Oreochromis niloticus: one gene and its partners. The protein of the gene in region 3 interacts with the protein of the main gene of each other region in a biochemical or structural test. Links are inferred from orthologs where the notes say so. Each region holds a gene or a part of one and is shown on either strand. Other genes may lie near its edges. The genes, in order: egln1a, apoptosis regulator Bcl-2 and fkbp8.

The links.
Region 1: the proteins of fkbp8 (region 3) and egln1a form a complex in vitro, tested with the Homo sapiens proteins (2 studies listed by BioGRID, with this or other methods). The link is inferred for Oreochromis niloticus from reciprocal best matches to the Homo sapiens genes FKBP8 and EGLN1.
Region 2: the proteins of fkbp8 (region 3) and apoptosis regulator Bcl-2 form a complex in vitro, tested with the Homo sapiens proteins (4 studies listed by BioGRID, with this or other methods). The link is inferred for Oreochromis niloticus from reciprocal best matches to the Homo sapiens genes FKBP8 and BCL2.

What each region holds. Positions count from the first base shown.
Region 1 is NC_031978.2:23,833,346-23,840,578, forward strand, and holds the start of egln1a (egl nine homolog 1), read right to left. Parts: upstream 3,010-7,233; 5' UTR 2,663-3,009; coding exon 1,964-2,662; intron 1-1,963. Other genes in the region: tsnax (translin-associated protein X), read left to right, coding at 5,750-5,765, 6,908-6,994, 7,083-7,197. UniProt on the Homo sapiens protein: Cellular oxygen sensor that catalyzes, under normoxic conditions, the post-translational formation of 4-hydroxyproline in hypoxia-inducible factor (HIF) alpha proteins.
Region 2 is NC_031982.2:16,825,715-16,833,664, reverse strand, and holds the start of apoptosis regulator Bcl-2, read left to right. Parts: upstream 1-4,863; 5' UTR 4,864-5,491; coding exon 5,492-6,040; intron 6,041-7,950. Other genes in the region: kdsr (3-dehydrosphinganine reductase), read left to right, coding at 187-378, 847-930, 1,070-1,153, 1,268-1,369, 1,468-1,587. UniProt on the Homo sapiens protein: Suppresses apoptosis in a variety of cell systems including factor-dependent lymphohematopoietic and neural cells. Regulates cell death by controlling the mitochondrial membrane permeability. Appears to function in a feedback loop system with caspases.
Region 3 is NC_031986.2:34,623,142-34,630,257, reverse strand, and holds the start of fkbp8 (peptidyl-prolyl cis-trans isomerase FKBP8), read left to right. Parts: upstream 1-4,086; 5' UTR 4,087-4,259; intron 4,260-4,320; exon of another isoform or gene 4,321-4,539; intron 4,540-4,810; 5' UTR 4,811-4,822; coding exon 4,823-5,066; intron 5,067-5,193; coding exon 5,194-5,363; intron 5,364-5,477; coding exon 5,478-5,566; intron 5,567-7,116. Other genes in the region: ssbp4 (single-stranded DNA-binding protein 4), read left to right, coding at 354-383. UniProt on the Homo sapiens protein: Constitutively inactive PPiase, which becomes active when bound to calmodulin and calcium. Seems to act as a chaperone for BCL2, targets it to the mitochondria and modulates its phosphorylation state.

The DNA of each region.
Region 1 (7,233 bases), on a different chromosome or scaffold from region 3:
TTAGGTTAATAAATAATTATATTAAACAATCAAGATTATAATATTAACTAAAATCATTAAAAAAATGTTCACAGTCCAGCAGCTTTTATTTATTCTCAACCAAGAGAGCAGATATTTGTGATGGCTCCATCCACTCCATCAACTGTGTGACTACAAAGTTGGTTTATTTCTCTAATATTATAATAAAAGGCCCGTTGCTTTAGTGTTTTTTGCTTCTAGCCAGATTCAAAGTGATGTTGCTAAACTTCTAGTTAATAGTGACTATAGCTTTCAGAGAATTTCCCTCAGGAGAAGAGGAGGAAGAGGAGAAAGCCGGAAAGCACCTCGTCCTCTCCTGAAGCAGTCTCATGCTATAAGGCCATGGTGACCAGATCTGTCAAGAGTCGCAGGTCACACGCAACCATCTTTATCCACTAGACAGCACTAACAGTTAGGAAAAAACAAACCAGGTGCCAGGAGAGCTTCTGAACCCTAGCAGCTCAGCCTGAAAAAACGAGAACATCCGACAATTAAAAACAAGTTCTTAGAAAACACATTTTAGTGAAACAGAAGCTACCCACAGCTTCCTCTTCCCCCAGAAACACACAGGTTTTCTTCTCAGTATGGGAATGCTGCCTAACCAAATACGTCTGTGCGTGACACTGAACTTATCACCACAACCTGTCACCACTAAAGCGATGTCAGAGGTCATAGTGAGCCGCAGTAAATTCTCAGTAGAATGGGGCCTCGGGCTGGTTTCTGCCACATGGTTGCAGCTTCTTCACATCACTCACATTTTACCAAAAACAAAAGCTAAAGTACAAACATATGAATGCAATATATACACTCTGATGAGCTGGACTGTCTTTGCTGTTTGTGGATGTGGCAGCATGTGTTAGCTGTGTTAGTCGTCTCACTGGTCAGAATGACCTTCCTGAAACTAACGCAGTCTGTCACAACATAATAGCTCCGCTATTCACTGCTTACTAAGGTGCTTTCAGCGAAATCTGATCCCTGATTTGGAGACTGTGCTTTCTATATCTGATTCTTTCCCCATCACGTTTATTTTAAATAGAGCACCAAACATAATTAAACAGCTACGAAACACATCTAAAAACCAATAGTCATTCAAAATATGAACAATACACACTTAATGGAGGGAGGATTTTAGCAGTTTTTGTCTTAGGTGCATTTACTTTGCATAATAACTAAGAAACTGAGTGCAACCTGTAGAAGTGAGGACTGGATTTGAGCAGTAATCTATGGATAATATGGATTAAGGAATATATTCTGTAGGCATCAGAAAGCTCAAGTATTTACACATCTAATATACTTTTTTTTTTTTTTTTTAAATCATTTTAGGCTAGAATAAACAGTCCAGCATGGCATATGCTTGCAGCTGCTTGCTAGAAAAAGCCACGAGACAACAATGTGCCTCGTGCTTTGCTTTCATTAGATTTCAGCTGGATTTCATTTGATTCAAAGATGCTGCAGACACGTGATCTATCCAAATTTAGTCTTTCTTATTGGTTGAGGTATTGCGTTTATTTAAAGCAATGATTTGAGGGTGTCTTTCTATTGCCATGGCGACCGAACACGTGCGCTGTCTGTGCACACTCTTCATGCGTCCAAAACAAAACCATTAACATGTGAGCAGCACCAGCAATCACCTTTCTGACTCAGAGCAAAGCCAGAAGAGGACTCGGCAGCCTCTAACCCGCAAAGTCGAATCTAATTAGCAAACAGGGCTGATCTATTACACCTAATAGCACCTTAACGACAAAGTGGGAGGAAAAAAAGCTTCTGCAGAATGATGCATCCCTGTTAGAAATCTGTGGTACTTTTGATTTCATCCCCACGCAGCCAGAGTACTGCTGCTTTCCTGACCTTGTAGTGTGTGTGGCAGGTGTCACACCAGCAAGCCTCTGGCTCCTGGGGGATGAATGCAGTAGATGCGCAGTGTGCGCGTGTGCTTCGTACTTACCTTTGTTCTTCCATTTATCGTATAGTTTCCCAGTTTGCCATTACAATGTCTAATCAGGTCGTCCATGCGATTCATTAGAAATTGGATCCTCTCGCAGTGGGGCTCCTTGCCATCGATCCACGTGATTTTATCACCTCGGATGTCTTTAGTGGAGTCGCTCTTTTGACTCACCAGTTGACCGTCCGTGAACTTGCCAGTTTCGTACAGGGCCTTGACATTTTCAAGAATGCCCAGCCCGATCTCTGCTCCTAAAAAGTCGTCCACCACACAGATGCCGTGCTTATTCATGCACGGCACTATGCACTCCAAGGCAAGTTTCTGCGGGGATAAGCTGCTCTGTCCGTTAGGTGTGGCAGTGCTGTCAGACCTATTATGTTCAGCTCTCACTTCAATTCTCAGTGCTTTTGTGTTTGTACTTGTGTTTGCACTGTCCGCTTCCTCGGGGCTTTGCTCTTCTCGACATTTCTCAGGCGTCTCGTCGTCCCCAGGCTGCGGTGCCTGCTCGGGCTTCTGTGCAGGCAGCTGCGGCTTGTCCGCCTCCTTACAAATGAGCTTGTGTTTCTTCCAGTCCTGCTTCTGGTGCTCCTTGCTGCAGTAGAAGGAGCTGCGGCATCTACCGCACTTAAGAAGGTTATCAAACCTCCCGCAAAGTTCACAGTACTGTCGGTCTCGGTCCAGCTCGCTCTGCGGCTTCTCCATGTTTTGAGGATACAGGAGGCGTACTGCTCCTTTAATACCGATCCTTCACGCGCCTTGCTAATCGACAACTTTGGAAACGACCCGCCGCCGCTGCCACGCTGATACCCAGGGGAACCAAACACTCAAAACCCAGCCATTTTATCGCACTCATGTCCTTTTCTGCCTCGTGTGTCAGTGGAATAACACGACAACGTGCGCCCACGGACCAGCATTTAGGGGTGGGTCGAGGTCTTTGGGAGGCATTTCTGCAAGCTAGCTCTACTTCCCGGGGTAATGGATGGCGCCGCTCAGAGTGTGCTCAGCCAGCCCTGCCCGAGGACCGGCCCGCTCTGACGTCAGCACAAAGGCACCGCCTCTCTCGTGCTGCCTTCAGGTGCGGTCGGACAGACAGTTGGCGGTGAAAAAGTGGCGTGCTCGCGACACGTGGAAGTTCATGTTCAAGTCTTGTCGGGGGTATAAAGGGAGCATGCGCCTCTGGTCAGTCAGTAAAAAGTGATGTAAATATGTTACCCTATCTGTTTCAGTTATGCAATATATTCATGTTCTCTAACAGTGCAGAAAATTAGCTCCACCAACCATGCAGTAATAGGTATAAATAAAAATCCGACATGCAAAATGTGCAACAGACTGAAAGGACATAAATGCACTTTTATACTTTGAGTACACAATCCAGTATAATAGGTTATAAATCCAATGTTGCTTTCTTTATTACTTTCCCCAATACTGTAACACTGCAATACTGTGTAATGGCAAATTAAAGGTAGCGCTGTCATTTAAATTTGACGCAAACCGCTTACAGATTTGTGGAAAGGACAAGCAAAAGAGATATAGCCATATGGCAAGTGTTGCTTCAAGCATCACTGACTCGTTTTGTGCGCATTTCCTATCGAAGCAATAGTATCATATAGCCTAAATCATAAAGTAAGAAACCAGATTCTGATGAGCATTTGTCTACCTGAGTGTGGTTGTGCTGTTGTAATTATTCTATATTAAGCAAAAGAAGCATCTAAAAACCTGTGTCGTGCCAAAAAGTGATTTCTGTTATGTGCCAAAAAAATAATAATAAAAATAAAAACATAATTGGAGGTATTTACGTTGCTGCAAATGACTAATAATCTGCTAAACATACCACTCATGAATGATAGCAAATCGTTTTGAGCCCTGTCACCTTGTGATGTTAAGCAAGTCAAATATGTCGTTAAAATTAAAATGTCAAGAACTAACATCACACTTCTATAAAGATATTTTAATTGGCCAAAAGGGACTGGATTATAATCATGATGTTGATGCAATAAGATGGAGTCATAAAGATTTTTTGCAGAACAAGTCGTTTCTTCGTTTTATATATAACCCCTTCGTGACTCCTGTTGACTATAGTCTATTTATGAGAAAAAAGACATAATAAAAACAGAAGAATCGGAAACCAGTTTTTGGCACAAATCAGTTTGTAGGAGCTTGAAGGGAGCACCTGAAGGCATCTCCAGTCAGCAGCAATGTGTTGTGCTCTCATTCCTGGCTCGCATAGGTGAAATTCCTTTCGCACAAACAAAAAGTTAAAGAGCTTGCTGCTGTTATGATAGACAGATAAGTTGGGTGGTGTGCAGTTTATGAAACTTAGGATTGTGACAGACCGGTGACTTAAATCACTTACTGGAAGCCATAATGGATAACATTTTAAATTTTATGAAGCATGGAGATACTCATATAAATATTCTATGACAAACACCTGTCATTCATCACAACGATAAGTTACATTGTTTTGTTTTTTTCATCTGGGTCCTGGTCTCATTCCACAAATATAATATACACAAAACAATCATCCACAATGACACACCAAAGAGATGTAAAACGGTAGTAAAGAGACCAAATGTCAATACGAAGATGTAAAATGACTAAAATGAGACACAAAGTGAACTTAAAGAGATACAAAGTTACAACAATGACACATAGAAAATATAAATAAATAAAATAAATAAATACCCCAATTGTCACTCAAAATTAGATAGTAAACCCAAACGTGATGATATGTACATTTATCCCAAGAGAGTGGTTGTAAAAAGATGAAAGAAGTATCACAAGTGAAAAAACAACTTCTCGGTGATGTTAGATGACCACAGGGAGACACCAAATTTTAAATTGAGACGTGAAAATAATCATGAAAAATGAATGAAAACAAACGTATGCAGTAAGCATCACACAGCAGTGGCCAAGATTCAAAAAGATGCACAGATGGTTAACAGAAAACAATCACAAATCACATCTGCAGGGCATCCAGTAAAGACATTTCACTCATCTGTGGAAGAAGTCAGGGTGGAACTTTTTGTTGAAAAGACAAGTAATCTGCTAAACGTTGATTTAGATATTCGATGGAATATCTAAGATACCTGTTATTTTAGGTTGATAGTCTGGAGAATTTCTACGTTTGAATTTTGACTGGAAAGAGAAAGTTCTGTGTGGCACACCTTTCTTTTTAAATTTGGTATGGGAATATCTAATTAGTATACATGGCATCTTCAAGAACTTACCTAATAGTTATAACGTTTATAACGTCATAAAAAGCGATTATTATGTAATTATTATAAATGTAGCTATTATATGTTTGTATTGTTTTTAAGAAATTGTGTTATTATTATAAATGCAATTGTTATATAATTACGCCAGATATTTTCGCTACTTTCTAAAATCAGATTCTAATTATTTAAAAATTATTTAATTATTTAAAAATTAGTAATAAGGAAAACATTGTAATAAAACTAACTCCTGATTTTGCCATTTAACTACGTATCCCGTGATGCATCTCTTTGAATTTCCTGCTACGCGTGTAAACAGCGCAAAAGCCCCGCGATGGACTGAGGTCCGCACCAATGCCTGTTATTAAAACCAAGAAAACACCGTTTTATTCGCGTTAAAATATATGCAGGCTCTACTAATTTTGTTTTCCATCGTCCAGAGAACATTATTTTTTCTGCGTAAAGCGGAACTATTTTGTTCTTTGTTTGTAATAATGCTCAACCTTTACGTTTGACTGGCACTGGCGTTAGTGGTTAAAATACACCCCTAAAAACTGTGCACTACAACACCGAAGCTATGAATAAACGAGAAGGTAAGTCCAAGATTTCTTCCTTCTAGTTTCATGAGTTTTGTAATTAACTAGCGAGGCTAAAATAACAGTAGGACTAACATGTGATAGCGTTTTAACCTACCTACTCTGCCTAAGTCAGGTTAATGAAATCATTTCATGGTAGTAACAGAAGTAATAAAGTGCTAATCCTGTTCCATTAAAATATCTAAAGCACATACTAGTGCTTTATTTGTCTGGCCATTAGAAGTGGGAATCACGAGAAACCCCACAAGAGAATATCATCATAATACGTCACCTACGATACAATAGTATTGTGATTTTTTTTTAACGTTTTGCATTACGCTAAGTATCACATTTGTCTTTTTCAACTGCAGTGTATGCATCATTTTAAATAAAGTTAACTCACTTTCAATATTTTTTTGCTGCAAAAGCGAGATTATAATGCGTGCCAACACTGTCACTAAAATCTGCCATAAATGTTTCTATCAGTCTCCGATTGAATGGGGTCAAGTTGGCAATTACATGCAATCTGTACACTCACGCACTCAAACTCTGAGCAGCCATTTGGTCACTACAAGTTGCCATTGGCTGCTGAATGGGAAAAATCTCACCAGGCAGCCACTGTTGTTGTCATTTTTTTTGTACATACAAGAAATTTACTGTCCTATTTTATTTGTGTGACTGTCAAGCCAAGTGTGTCCAGTGTTTGATGTTTCTTCAAAGTGGTGCATGAGATGAGCCGTCTCATTTTTAGTATTCCTTAAGTATTTTAATTTATTTAATAAAATATTGATATTTGGTGTCCCTGTAGCGATACAAATTCACGATATTATGCTGTGTCCATATTTTTTCTCATCCCTACTGGCCATCAATCCAAGCAGGCGCTTAATAATTATAAGTAAAAAGGTGAATTTAGGCATTCTCTTCTTAAGATATCAACAGATCATGTCAGCTGTTGCAGGTTATATTTTGGGTCACTTGAATATTCCAACCACATTTTAAAGAGGGTTCTCTATTATTTTTATTTATTTATTTTTTTTTTTACTGCATTTCATTTGTCATTGTGGAATTCTGGGAGTTAGATTTATTGTATGTTTTTTCAATTTACCAAAAAGTCAGAGGCAGTTATTATTTAAAGACTATGACATCATCTCTACTGTCAGGTGAGGGGTGTTCACGGAGAAATGCAGATGCAGCACAGGAGCACGAAATGAGTGCCAACCCCTCGTCTGTCATGGCTGCCTTCAAAGGTAACAGCAGTATTCTCACTGCACTTTGCACCCAAATGGTTTCAATGTTATATTGCCTGCACTGAAACATTTCTCTGTGTATTTCAAGGTTTCCAACAGGAGCTCGACACCAAACATGACAAATATGAGCGTCTTGTTAAGATTAGTCGCGACGTCACAATTGAAAGCAAGAGAACCATATTTCTTCTGCACAGAGTGACCACGTAGGTGTTCTTAACAACAATATTCACCGCATAAAT
Region 2 (7,950 bases), on a different chromosome or scaffold from region 3:
AGGTTTGATTTGTGACTTGGTAAGAAATCGTCAGAATTTTTGAAGAAGTGGCTAAATTTATGGCCTGCTGTGAATCAAGACACTGTGAACTGCTCAGGTTTTAAAGTGACTGAAGCTGCCTACAATAATGTAATGTACCATGGACACTCTGGTTATAGTATGTATTAATGTAGCCTTCGTTTCTAGAAATTGATGGAAGTGAACTACCTGGGCAGCGTTTACCCAACACGAGCCGTCATAACCACCATGAAGGAGCGAAGAATGGGCCGCATCATGTTCGTTTCCTCCCAGGCGGGCCAGATTGGTCTGTTTGGTTACACTGCCTACTCCCCATCTAAGTTTGCCCTGCGAGGCCTTGCAGAGTCACTGCAGATGGAGGTATGTGTTTTGCAAAAATGGCCTACATACATGCTTGAAGCAATTCTTAGCATTCCTTAGCATAGAATACGAACGACATTCCACGACCAGAAGTAGGCAGGACTGAAGATAAACTTTTCTCAATTTCCTTCAACTGAAGCGACTACCAAGGAGAATGACATTTGATCTGGGAATAAATGCATTAGAGGTTCACCTAAACAGCCAGAGCCTGGAGTGTCCACAAGCACCCAGCCATCATATGCAACAAGCATATCTCTTGCAGTGTGTTTGCAGCTTGAGTGAAGATGATGATAAAGGACATTTCACTAGCGTCAGTGCTGTAATGATTATACTTTTTCTACGTATAGGTAGCATTCAGGCGAACTTTTATTGTCAAAGAGCTGTTGAAATGTTAACGTATGTAGTTAGTTGTCATGGTCTCAGTAGTGGAATTGCTAAGGCAGTTATTGCTTTGTTTTCCTTCTGCAGATAAAACCCTACAATATCTACGTGACTGTGGCATACCCCCCTGACACTGACACTCCAGGACTGGCTGAAGAGAACAAGACAAAAGTATGCAACAGTACAGAGAAATACGTCCTTTTCTTACTTCCTGTTTTTTTTATGTAAATTTTATTGCTGCTTAAATGCTTGTGGTCGTACCCCCACCCCTCTCTCCCTCTCTCCCTCTTTATCCGCTTTCCTCTCCCAGCCTCTGGAGACCAAATTAATCTCTGAAACCTCTGGAGTTTGTCAACCAGACCAAGTGGCCAAAATCATTGTCAGGGATGCAGTGGTAAGAAGCTCGAATCACATTCAGTGCCCAGTTTAAAAATAAGATGTGTGCTCTGTATTTTGTTTGTTTTTTCCTTTGGCAAATGTATCTGCTTGTTTTTCTTTCATCTCACAGCAGGGGAACTTCAACAGCTCTGTCGGTCCAGATGGTTACATGCTATCAGCGCTCACCTGTGGAATGTCACCCGTCACCTCCATCACAGAGGGTCTCCAGCAGGTACAGCCCTGTACATGATATGAAATTGCAGGAGGCAGCGTTCCTCAGCAGATCTGCAATTTTAAGCCTAACCTTTTTATTTTGAAATTCCCGCACAGATTGTCACCATGGGATTGTTTCGGACCATCGCACTTTTTTACCTGGGGAGCTTTGACAGCATCGTGCGCCGCTGTATGATTCAAAGGGAGCAGTCAAAAGCGGCCAATAAGAGGGAGTAACTGCAGCCTTACCTTCACCACACCCCGATGCCCCCAACCCTTTACCCACTGCCCTCCCAGCCAGTCCCTTCCTCCAGCTGTACAAGTGCACAACCATAGGTGGGGGTGGGGTTTGAAAAATAAAAGGCCATGTCAGCATTTCTGATGTCAACTTTAGCAGATGGAATGGAAGAAAGTGGCAGATGTTTACGTGTCTACTCCACAGACTTGATAGCCATTTAGATGTATTTTTTTCTCCCCTGGTGACTTCAGTTTAATGTGTCCACCTGCTTCTTTTTGTGGAAGCAGCCTTACTTTAGAGGAAAGAGGGGTGACTAAAAATCCCACAGCCTGGGTTTTTTTTTTTTTTTTTTTTTGTTCCCACAGAGAAGAAAAGCAACAGCCCGTCTAACCGGTTGTGCCAAATATGGCCTGAATTTTTTTTTTTTTTTCCCCACCAGAGGCTATAGCGAAAACAGAATAGTTGTTACTCTCTTTTTCATCATATTGTGCCGCATGTATCAGAGATTTCCATCTTTTAGAGAGTTTTTACAGTTTTCACTATATAAGCCCTTTCTTTCCCACCTTTTACATACTTCAGGTCTTTGCAGGCAAAGATCCTTCCCTTTTTTCTCTCTCTCTTTTTTTTTTTTTTTTTTTTTTTCTTTGACTGAATAACCTCTGTGTTTAAAAGCGGTCGTGACCCACAGTGTTTTGTTTATGCTGCAGGATATTTTTGTTTGTGTTTGTGCGTGAACTGAGGTCATACATTATACGACAGTACTCTTCAGTGATATCAAAGGGCAGGAGAGAGCTTGTTATGTTTGTCTTTAATTTTTTTAAATCTATAATGCATAAAATAATCTCCACATATTATCATTATTATTAATAATAGTGATAATATTCCAAAACTTTACATGCAGCGTTGTCGCTGAAAACCGTGTGATGTGAAAGTGTGTTTGCTGTGACTGAGCCGACCACCTCCGGAAAGAGTAAAGCCATTCAAAGTTTTTGTCTCGGGAATAAAGACAGCAAAAACGTTTTCCTCGTCATTCCAGCTAAATGAAGAAAGTAAAGCAGGTACTATGGGTTGAAGCCATGAAGTCGTAAGATTAGGGTGGGAGGGGATACACAAACAAATAAACCAGCACATAATTTTAAGTTTCACTCGTGCACTTGTCAGTTTAATTTAAAAAAAACAAACAAAAAACACTAATAAGTTGCTAAAGGAAGCATGAAGCGTATCATTTTTTACTTGCAGTTTTGTGTGTCAGTGCACATTCTCAGCCACCCCCAGTGAAGATGCATAATCTGTCAGGTTGGTGTAACTCAGAGATGGGCGCGACTCGCTGGATCGAGTCATGTCTCTGTACGTCTAGTGAGGGCGCTGGTGAGTCATCTTATATAATGGCCAAACTTTTGGAGGAACAAGAGTGGAAGTGTTATCCCTCATCTCTACGATGCTCTTTTTTTGTTGTTGTGTTGTTTTGTTTTTTACATGCACTGACGCTGTCGTGCACTGCTGGGACTTCAAAACTCTCTAGATTACAAAATATCGATTCCCTTCTGATTTGTGTCAACTCTTAGTTACCATCTGACTTTCTTATTGTTTTGGATGCAAAAGGAAGAAGAAAATACAATGTTGACTCTTGCAAGTCTTCCTTTGGTCCAGTCGGAGAGAATGTACTTTATAGCAAAGCGATACGAATCAGAACGTAGGAACATTATTTTTTAAATACACCAATATTTGAATGCCAAAATGTGTTAAGACAATTTCTTGAGATCGCAGCACATTTCTTTGTGGTTTATTTTGATGTCGCTGCTCTTTTGATCTTAGTGTTACTTAATAAAAGCTGGATAGCAGCATGTGGCCCATTCTACAGCCTTAAGACGTGACTACTGATGAAGCGAACGCTATGAGAGTGGACCCGTCCGCAGAACAATGTGACTTCATACATTAGTGGATGATTGGTTTACCGGGTGATTTTTTTTTTTTTTTTTTTTTTTTTTTTTGTGACTTATTTGGTGTGAAATGCCAACTGTTTGGGGGGTTTTGTGTGTTTGTGTGTGTTTGGTCAATTTCTAGTGTTTCTATGACAAAAGAAGCCTTACTGAAATCCAAGACATGAAAGTGAGAATGGATGACTCATGTTTGATGATGTTCTCATTTGATATTGGTTAAAGGCGTACTGTCCCGCACTTCAGAGCTTTCCATAAATGTACATTTATTGCTTTAAGAAGGTTTTTCTTTTTTTTTTTTTTTTTTACCTTGAGGTAGCAACACATTGATGGATAGAACATGTAGCTCATGTAAAAGCAGTTTTGTTTTCACTAACACAACTTTAAGCTATGCAAATCAAGCCTCTGCTAACAATATGTTTAAACATACAGTAAAGATTTAAGTTCTGTAAGAGTCACGCTAGTTTCCCTCGTTTAATGGTGTCATTGTCGGATGCTCAATGGATTTAAAAGTCTTGAACATGTCATACTGCACTCTTTGGTTTCACGCTTTTTTTCTGTTTTCTTTGCTTTATACTCTTTCTGCCAAAAAAGCTTAACACCTTCACCTTGTGTGCCATTGAAAGAAAATGTGAGGAGTGGAACATTTCTTTGTCTTATTTTCTTACATGATAAACTAAATAAATACCTGTGAAGAAAACCTAAATCCTTTTACTCCTGGGTGTCCTTGTCTCTTCTTAAATTGCTCCAGACCTCTTAGACTGAACTTGCCTTAAGAGGGGGGGGGAATTAAATTAATCTCAGTATGATCGAGGTTCATAAGTTTTGACAGTGCAGGGTTTGTGGAGGACTGAGGACGTTAAGTATTCTGTTTGATAGAGGATGACATTTAATTTTTTCATAAGGGAACTTCCCGAAGCAGCAGCAGCTCTCGGGTTTGCAGAGTGCAGGACTTTAGATGCTTCGTTAGACCTGTTGGAGAATAAGTAGATGACAAATAGGGGAGATGCTTTAAAAAAGATGAGAAAAGTTTAAAGAAGACAGGGAAAATGTAGAGTGGTGCATCAGTTTTGCACTTGTAAGGTCTGTGTCCACAAGGGGGTGGCTGGACTACATCAAAGCAATCCCTCGCTGGGGTGGTCCTCTGCCCCTAACCCTGTGATCTTTTAAGATTTCTGTCTTCTATCATAAAAAATATCTAAATCTTAAAAATATTCTTGTTTATATAATTTTCTGGGTAACGTGGTCTGCCTTAAAACGAGGACGCAGTATGCAGTAATAATAATATGGCCTATAAATGGTTTGAGCGCAGTTCTTGGTGTGCACTTGGAGCAGCCAAAGGAAAGACTTTCCGCAGCTGACGTCAGGCATACCTCACTAAACAGTGCGGCCCACTAGCGGTGAACAGGGAGCTGCTTCGGAGGATATGTGGAGCAATCGTGGAAGAGGACTCCAGTCCGACCTTGTCTGGCGCACAGTCCCGCGTCTGGTTCGTGCGTAAGGCTGCTAAAACAGTTGGCCGCCTTTAAAACCCCTTCAGGCGTGAACAACTTTGGCTTTCATTCATATTTTTTTTTTAATCGCAACACATCCACGTCTGGGTGATGTGCACAGAAATAGAACAACACTACTCCCAACCTCTTCCGCATATTGGATTTCTATGCAAAGAGAAGGTCGCCAGTGTCCCTCCAAGGATTCGGGAAATGAAGACTGCTGCTGACACGGAACCAGCCTGTTTTGACTTCTAGTGCGTGTTTCTGTGCAGTTTTCTTCAAGGGATTTTCCCCGAGTTCACGAGTAAAGTATCTCCTCTCTGTGTGGGATAATTCGCTGCATTATCTATTTGAATACAGCCCCAGCTTTTTGGACGAGCCTGTGCAGAGCATTGTACGGTGCACACATTTGGTCAAAATGCATTTTATTTAGGATAACCACTGGATATACAAAGTGCCAAATTTGAGCCGGAATGGCGAACGAGTATAATCGCAATATTGTGGAAAAGTATATCTGCCATAAACTCTCCAAGCGGGGATACGTGTGGGGATTTCGCGTTGTCCAAGAAGAAGATGCTGCTAATAACGGATCGATAACTGACCCTCCACCGACTTTGGTCCACCGGTGCCGAGAAGCCAGCACCGGGCCTGACGGCGAGAGCAACACCCACCTCTGCAGACGGCTCCCACAGTCCGACCCACACGCAGGCATCCACAGAGTCCTGCGCGAGGCTGGAGATGAACTTGAAAGACTGTACCAGCCGGACTTCACGGAGATGTCGCGGCAGCTGCATCTCACCTCCGCCACGGCGCAGAGGAGGTTCGCCGAGGTGATAGACGAACTGTTCCGGGACGGAGTGAACTGGGGCCGGATTATTGCTTTCTTCGAGTTTGGGGGCACGGTGTGCGTGGAGTGCGCTTCCAACGAGGGGATGTCATCCCAGGTGGACAACATCGCAGACTGGATGACGGAGTATTTAAATGGACCTCTTAACAGCTGGATACAAGATAACGGGGGATGGGTATGTCTGATTCCGTGTAGTTGAGCGCTTTGCAGCAGTGTGCCAAGGGTTCGCAAAAGTCCTCTTTTAACTGTGATTAAAAGGAATTTCAGTGAGTGAGTTCGGTCAGTGTAGGCCTACACGTTTGATTGAGCTGAAAAGTGCATTTTGATCTGGCTTAACGGGGCTCAATATCGAAACCACATGTGTAGCTGATCATTAAAAAAAGAAAAGTCCCTTTTAAGATGATCTCGTGACGCACGACAGGCAACGAGCGAGATGAACGGCTTTACTTTACTTGCTCTAACTGGCTGATCTCGTTGACTGTTAAACTTACTCGACCAATCAAACAGCGGTTTCTCTATCACACCTCCCGACGCCTCTCTATAAAAAACCCGCCCTGTCAACTGTAGGAGCAGAGGCAGACGCGCAGCTGTCATTGGAGCACAGGGGTTATTATCTAAGGGGAAGTAAAAGCTTAGTTATAAAAAGAAACAGGATTCTGCGTGTGGTGTTGGAGAGAGAGGCCATTTCACCATCCACCTGTATCTGAATCTTCATGCACGAAAGTGCTTCAGTCCCGCTGTCACGTGATGCATTGCAGGCCCTCATTCTTGCAGAAGGGAGGAGGTCAGACACATGTCAGCAAAGAGCAAACTATTGAATTAATGTGTTTAGGCCTCTGGGCATAACTGGACAGGGTTCAGCTTATCAGAGGCCTTTTTTTGGCACAACACACACCTGGCTGAATGCATGCCCACACTGAATCTGAAACAAGCATGCATTGTCATATTCATTTTTCAGGTTTTTGTTACAGCTGCAAACTCTCCTGCAAGAAAAAAGGGGGGTTGCTGTGCACCTCAGTAGTCACCAAAACTGACTTGCAATGAATTAACCTTTAATTAGCCGAGGTGCTCTTAATGAGAGCATAACGTTTGCACTGCCTGGTTATCTTAGCTGGAAGGTATCATAAAAACGGGGCGTGTGTTGAGTGGGCTTATCAATGATTCATATCGAATGTTTCATCTCAAAGGATAGGACCGTTTAACATTCCCCTTGAGTCTGCCTTGCCCCTGGAGGTGGCAGGTTGTGCCACATATCAAAGGGAGGCAACAGAGGGAGGGCCCTCCAAGAACACAGAGTGCTAATCTGCAGCCACTGTGTTTAACATGCCGTCCTCTGTTTGCATCTTGGTTGGGACTCTTTTGTCTGCCTTTTTCAGACCTGTGCCTTGAAGCTGGCGCAGACTGGGGCCGCAGAGATGCCTGCTCGGGGTCTCTGGAGCCCACTGTAGAATAATGTAGGTCATCATAGTTTGGGTTTTACAGCTGGGTGGAGATGACTGTATCTGTGCATCCACTGGAGAGAGACAGACAGAGAGAGAGAGAGAGAGAGCAAGAGCACAGTTCTTTAATCCAAAGGATTATTTAGGATTATTTGAAAGCATATGTCTGCAGTATGGGGAATGAATAACCTCATCCAATTAGTTTTAAGCTCAAAGTAGGCTCTAAAACAGTTTAATCCTGAATATGTTAGTGTTAGCTCAGTTTCTGTTGTAGCTTCCGCATATGCAGCCATGCACCGGTGTTGATTTATATTCATCTGAACGGGTGTCAGGTAGGGAATTTCCTGAGGTGTGTGCTTCAGTTATTGCATGACCTTTAATAACTGACGTTGCAAACACAGCGTTGTCTGTACTCTGGATTGGGTTTGTGAAAACTGGCTTTGCAGATGTTGAAATGTAATAAAAGTCAACTGTGTTTTCAGTCTGTGAAACAAAGCTGGGGGTTTTTTGCTATGTTTTGTCTCCTCTGGAGCCGAAACGACGGCCTGTTTTACACTGACGTGTTTGTGTTTTTGTATGTTTTTGAGAATGTCTGCTAAACATTGGGTTGATTTTGTTCTGGCCTCTTCCTGAATTATGAATTCAC
Region 3 (7,116 bases):
AACACAGCATGCACACACACAAGCATGGACAAAAACACACATCATACCTTCTCTGGTGCATGGAGCCATTGCCGTAGCGTGATTAATGTCAGACTGTACCGTCACTGTGATCTGAAATTCCCTCACATTTTCTCTCTGGGCTGGGCTTCGCTCTGCTTGCTGAGTTTACTGACATACAGAATAAACTAGAAAGAGCTTTGTGTGTACTGTTTGCTGCTGAAGGCTGGTGGACTTGACATGGCATTTAGTTTAAGTAGCTGAACTGCTTTTATATTAAACTGGATAGTGGAACAAGTTAAATATAGTATTGGCTTATCTTTTCTCCCTTGCTCTCTTTTTTTCTCTCTTTACAGTATTCACCCAACATGACGATGAGTGTGTGATTTTTTTTTTTTTTTAATCTTTTATTTTATTTTACTTTTTCATCTCCCTTTATCTCAACCTCCCTTTCCCGTCCACCCTGATGCGTCTTGCATTACCCTCCTCCTCTTCCTCCTATTCGTGGATGGTGTGCTGTGCCACACAGCCCCTGGGGATTCCCCTGGAAAGCAGGATTCCCCTCAAGGCCCCCCATCCCACCAACACCTCCAAACTAGGTGTAAGAACATGAAAAGGCCTCCGAGCAGCAGGAAGGATCTCGTCTTCGCCCCATCGAGGGTCCGAGCGCCGCGAGACCCCGAACCTGCCCCAAGCCTGTCTTTCTCGAACCTGAAATCTGCCTTTGTGGGTGACGTCCAGGCCCAATCGAGACGCCCCTCCGCATTCAGCTCCGCCCCGCCGTCACCCTGTTCTCACATCAAGCTGATTAAAACTGACGAGGGCGCGCAGCAGTCCTCCGACCCGGGGCCAAGAGCCCTCATTTTAAAAGCTCTGCTCCTGTGACAGGATTGGTTAAAAAAGATGAACTGATGATGTCATTTTGGGGCGTGAACGGTTTTCATTCAGTGTTTGTATTTTTTGTTGTTGCTGATATTATTGTTCTAATTTTCATAATTGATATCGTTTGACTAATGTAGTTATGATTTCCTGTAAAGGGCACATTTTCTCTCAGCAGCAGCGTCGACGGTGACAGAATAAGCACACGCTCGTAAAATGCACAATGATTTTCTGTTTATGTGATTTGATTTGTTGTTTGTCTCGTTTCTGCCACCGTCAGCCTCGCGTCACAAAACTCCTTTAGTGTTTGCCTCCTAAATGTGTTCCCCAAACTTCACGGGAAGAGTATCTGGGTAACCGAGGTGGGTTTTCAGGTACAGTGTGTCTGTAGATGCACCTGACGATCACACGTCTAACTGTACTGTCTTAAAAAGTAACCCTTCTCCTAGCTTCCTGCTCTTTTGCTGGTAGAAAATGGCTCCGATGACACCCTGACGTGATTGTCAGGATTGTCAGGTGCCATTTTTAATTCAGAAATTTTGTGAATCCACTCGTCTCCTCTACGGATTGGGTCTTTTCTTTAAATGTAACATATTTAGCTTGTACTGTGTTTTCTTTTCTTTCTTTTTTTTAATTATTTGTTATTTACAAGTCGTCTGTGACTCCTGGAACGTGTTTCCTTACCCTTCATCCTCTTGCTTTGTTTGATTTCACTGCTTTTATGGACTCCAAGTGGCCCCTTTTTCCTCCCAGGATTCATTCTGGTCCATCCAGCGACTCCTTTTGGGCTGGAAGCAAATGTGGGAGACACTCGTTTGGGTTGAAATCACAAATCCTGCTGGGTCCACCTTCTTAACTGTGGGTTAAATACCTGCCTCTGTGGAGTTCCCATCAGAGAGTCCCATATGCGCGGGATAATGGACCCGGGTGAGCGGCAGTGGGAGCGCTGATGATGGGAGCAGAGTTGATTGTAAACCATCTAAAGAAGAGGATTACCTGCAATCAATAAGTTTCTATTTTTTTTTTAATTTCAATTGTATGGAATTGATTAAAAAAATAAAGCCCATAGAATCTGCACACAGACATGTCACAGTCACACAGTACGCTATTTAATTTGTTTCTGATGAACGCTCGCTGTCACCGGTTCAGAGGGTAAACTGTTTCTTTCAGTTGCTTCGCAGCTGTTTTCAAACCAACAATAACTGAGCAACCAGCGTTGCCTCTATGGGTGGTGGTGATGTACTTATCGATTTCCTGATATCAATGTGAACAGTTTGTACGCAGCGTTAAACAGGGACATCTCCAGGGTCTGGGCATCGGTGGCCTGGGGATCACTCAGTCCGGTGTTCCTCCTATGTAGTGACACACGCCTCCCCCACCCCTCCCCCTCCTTCCACACCCCTCACCCTTTGATTTCCCTTTTTGTAAATACTGTATAATGCATTTTGATATCATTGACATGTTTTGATATGTCAGTCACTACCAATGAATACAGCTGAAAGTAAATTATAAATAGATCTGTCCATGTTTTTCATAGTGAAAGGATGCACTATTTGGCTCATGTGGCTAAATTTCTAGAATACAGTAAATATGGCTAAATGTATAGAATACATTGACACACTTAATGCAGACCGTACGCTAAAGGCGTGCGTGGCGGGGAGGACGGGACAGAGAGGAGCAAAGAGCCGCGGCGTCCTCGCTCTGCCCTCCACTCCTCGTGTTTCGGTTTTGAAAAATCATGTGAATAGTTTTTCCAGAAAAACGACAAAAAAGGGCATCTTCTCACAAAAAAAAACATGTGACCTCATATTGCAGTTTTTAATATGAAGGATTTTTATCAATTTAAGAAACTTTTAAAAAGGAAAAAATACTTAAGGAAACCTCATTTTAAATTAAGAAGATCAAAATGTAATACTTATGGGGAAAACTGTGTCCTTTGCTATTCGCTCCTGTAATAGCGTTGTATAGTTTGAAGCTCTCTCACTGATCCTCTCTCAGTCCTCTGTGTATATCGATCGTCGGCCATCTCTGTACTTCTATTGTGATGTATAATACTGTACCATTAGGAAGATTTGCTGGTCGGGCGGGGGGGTTGTATTGAGACGGGGAGGGGTGGGGAATCGGGGTAAGGGCGTATAACGATTCTCCTGTACCGTTCACGGTCCTTTCTGATGACACGGCAGTATTCAATATGAAGCAGTCTGTCTCTTGGGTTTGCTTTGTATTTCATGGTAGGATAGTTCAGAATCTTGTCTTAGGGACTTAGGTGTCTTGTGTAGGTAATAAAGATGTTCTTTGTATGTTTCTTTATATTGTAAAGTTTCTTTAGACTGAAAGAAAAACAGATAATTTGCTTATCAAAAAAGAAACAATGCATCAATAATAAATGTCATTTGATTTTTCCTTGTTGTTTGACTCTCTCTCCCTCTTAGCGCTCATTTAACTCATCTTCCATATAGTCTCGGGCAATCGCTCTTGAGTCATCCCTCGTTTCTTCATATTTTGCTTCCAAAGAGCTGGGCTTATCATTGTTTTGCAAGTGCGCTTGGGCAATAGTCCTGCGGGCTTTCTGAAGAATTTTCTACGTTTTTCTTTTGACATTGTCTGCACAGATGATTCATTCAAGAGAATCCAGGCTGTGCTGAAGAATATAGGTGGTCACACCAGATACTTTAAAGCCTCTTCTGTACTGTATTTCCATCTGTTTTCTACATGTTTTAATAAGGTGCTGCAGTTATTTCCCATTAACCAAGCCCAAGGAGTGACTCAAGACTTTTGCTTGTTCGTGATGATGTTAATCAGTAAAAACATATTTCCACTGGAAACATATTTTTCCTGGAAAACTTTACATCAGCATTGTTTATTTGTGTTTGGATGAAACACATGTCTAGCCATGGTGAATATGTAAATCACAGTTTTAAAATCATTTTTCAGAATAAATCAAAACATTAGAGAGCTGCACACAAAGTCTTCATGTGTAAATTCACCCCTTAAATCACTGATACAAACTGTTTGTTTGTTTTTTTAATTTAATACATTTTGAGTGTTCTTAGCTTTCAGTGTGCTCATCGGTGTTTTAAACTAGCAAAAATAAGTCATTTTATATCATTACAAATAGCAGCTGCAGGCGTACATGGCTGCCTCTGAGGTAAATTATGAATAAGCATGAAACATCCAATAAACGTGCAGGGTCTCAAGGTTAACAGGAAGCAGCCTGCTTGGGGCTGTTAACAGATCGTGGCGAAGTCAGGTTGATATTGGCATGCAGCGACACATCCAGGTCTCACTGGCTTCATGTTCTCCGACAGCAACCTAACTTCAGCACTGCGAGCTAAAGGAGACTGCTCAGAACCAAAACACGGCTCTTCACAGACAATTTCGGGGTAAGCATCCGGTTATTTTGATACAGGCTTTTTATTATAAAATCCCTAACTCTGACTCACTCCACCGGGGATCGGTATAAGCAGTGATAAACACTCAGAGACAGTAAAAAAATTGCTAATTTAATGCTGACAACTAGCAGCTAGCTAGCTGTACATCCTCGGCTAACGTGTGCTAGCAGCAGCCTGCCATCCGTGTGGGAACACATGACAGCAGGGCAACTTGTTAGAAACTTCTGGAAACGTCTGGTGGGCTTTCTTGCTGTAGAACAACAGTTAACAGGTAATGTTGAGGTGAAATCGCATCACGTCACGCCAAAATCGATTAATAATCCTGATCGATTCAGAGCGAAAGCAGGTTTTATTTCAGTGCTGTTAGCCTGTAACAAGCTCAGTGGTGCGTGACTGACAGGGGATCTTTAAACACTGTTTTGAGCTTTAATTTGAATTGGACTCCGTGTTTTGGAAGGGCACACGCATTAAGAGTTAAGCAAAGGATCATTTTTGACGTTGTCTCCCGTCTTTTTTTTTTTTCTTTTTTTTTTTTTTACCAGAGGGGTCTGCTAATGACTGACAGAGAGGAGATTATGGAGTCGGATAGCCACGATAATGCGCAATCAGCAAAGAAGAACAGCAAAACGTCGCTGCTGGACAGCGGAGAAGACTTCGAAGTTTTAGATGAGGAAGACATTGACGACGACGAGCCGCCTCCTCTGGAAGATGTCGGGGAAGGGAAGGTGCAACCCACAAATCCAGAAAATACAAACCCCGACCCTACAGGTCAAGTCGATGAATGGCTGGATGTTTTGGGTATGTAGGACCCATGATGTGCTCCACAGCAGTGTAGGCTGTGCTGCACTTTGCTTGATTAGTGATGGGCATTGAGCCTGATATGGACAGTGGTCAGTGTTGTACATGTGACTGTGTCTGATTCCAGGTAACGGGCAGTTGAAGAAAAAAGTCCTGAAGGAAGGCGAAGGGCGAGACAGTCGACCACAGAAAGGACAGAATGTGAAAATCCGTCTTAAAACGAGCCTGGTGGACGGGACTGTCGTAGAGGAGAAGCCTGATCTTGCTTTCACTTTGGGAGATGGTGATGTAATCCAGGTAAAGACCTGTTAGATTAGTTTATTAATGCTCTTTGCGGAAGTTTGTGTGCAGAGTTTGCACACTTCATGTGTGATTCCTTAATTTTCTGAAGAGAGCTTTTCTTCTTTTCAGGCACTGGATCTGACAGTCCAGCTCATGGCGATGGGAGAGGAGGCACTCATCCAGACTGATGCCAAATATGCATATGGTGCCAGAGGAAGGTAAGGAAGTGTTTGAGGCTGTTTTTCCATGTTGTTATTTTTTGTATTCAAGTTTAATAATGGCCCTCTCACAATGCTAATTCATTTAAAAGTGGGTTTCAGTTCTCTGTCTTGTCCACTTACCTAATGAAGCTTTAGTGACTTTCTGATCACACTTTGGAGAGCACAGGTCTTGGCTTGTGCCACTGTTTCTCACAGTAGTTTCTAGAGTTAAGTGTGGGTTATCGTGGCCGATAAGGCTGTATCGGCACATAGCTAATATTAGCCGATCTGTTGGCGTGGTTCTAGTTAGAGGTTACAAAATGGTTTATCATGAGCTTTATCTTAACCAATTAAAACAGAAGAATCCTTCTACAGCGATGCATAACAATAATAATCTCATGTTGGTTTAATATTATAACAGGAACAGGGAAAACCCAACAATCAAACAACAAAAATCAAAAAGTAATTACCCCCTAAACCTGATAACTGGCTTTTCCACCACCAGGCATTTGTGATGCCTTCAGTGAGTCTTTCACATCACTGTGGAGGAACTTAAGCCCACTCTTCTTTGCAGAAATGCTTTAATTCAGACACACTGGAGGGTTTTCCAGCATGAACGCCTGTTTAAGATCACGCTGAAGCAGCTCAGTCCAGACTTTGACTCGGACACTCCAAAACATTCATTTAGTCTTTCTGAGCCAATCAGAGGTGGACTTGCTGCTGTGTATGGATCATTGCTCTGCTCCCTGATTTCGCTTGAGCTTTGGGACATGAAGTGATTTGCGGACATCCTCCTTCCGGTATGGAGCAGAATTCATTGTTCCCTCAGTTACAGCGAGTCGTCCTGGAGCAGCAGAGCCGCCCAGACCATCACACTACCAGCACTGTGTCCACCTGCTGCTGGGATGTTCTCTTTATGAAACGCTGTTAGTCTGATGCAGATGTAACAGGACTCAAACCTTCCAGAAAGTTCATCTTCTGTCTCATCAGTCAGAAGATTTTCCCAGGAGTCTCTGGGGTCATCCTGCTGTTTGTTGGCAGATGTGAGATGAGCCTTTGTGATCTTCTTGGTCAGCAGTGGTGTTCTCCTTAGGCTCTCCCACTGAGGCCATTTTTGCCCAGTCTCTTTCTTATGATTGAGTCATGACCTCTGACCTTAACAAAGCCAGACGAGGCCTGCAGGTCATCAGATATTGTTCTGGTTCTTCTGTGACCTCCTGGGTGAATTTTGGTGGGCCGGTCACTCCTGTGAAGGTTCAGCACTGTTCCCAGTTTCTCATGTGCGGATAATGGATCTCACTGTGGTTCACTGGAGTCCCAGAGCCTCAGAAATGTCCCTGTAATCTTTTCCAGACTGATGGATGTCAGTGATTTTGTTTCTCAGCTGTTTCTTTAGATCTTTTAGCCTGCGTCACTTTGTCAGACAGCTTCTATTTAAGTGATTCAGCAGGACTGACAGCGATCAGGCCACAGTTCATTTATCATTTAACAAGGGGAACGGTTACTTTTTTTACACAGGGCAGGTAGGTTTAGATAGATTTTTTTTCCCTTAATAAATGATGACTTAA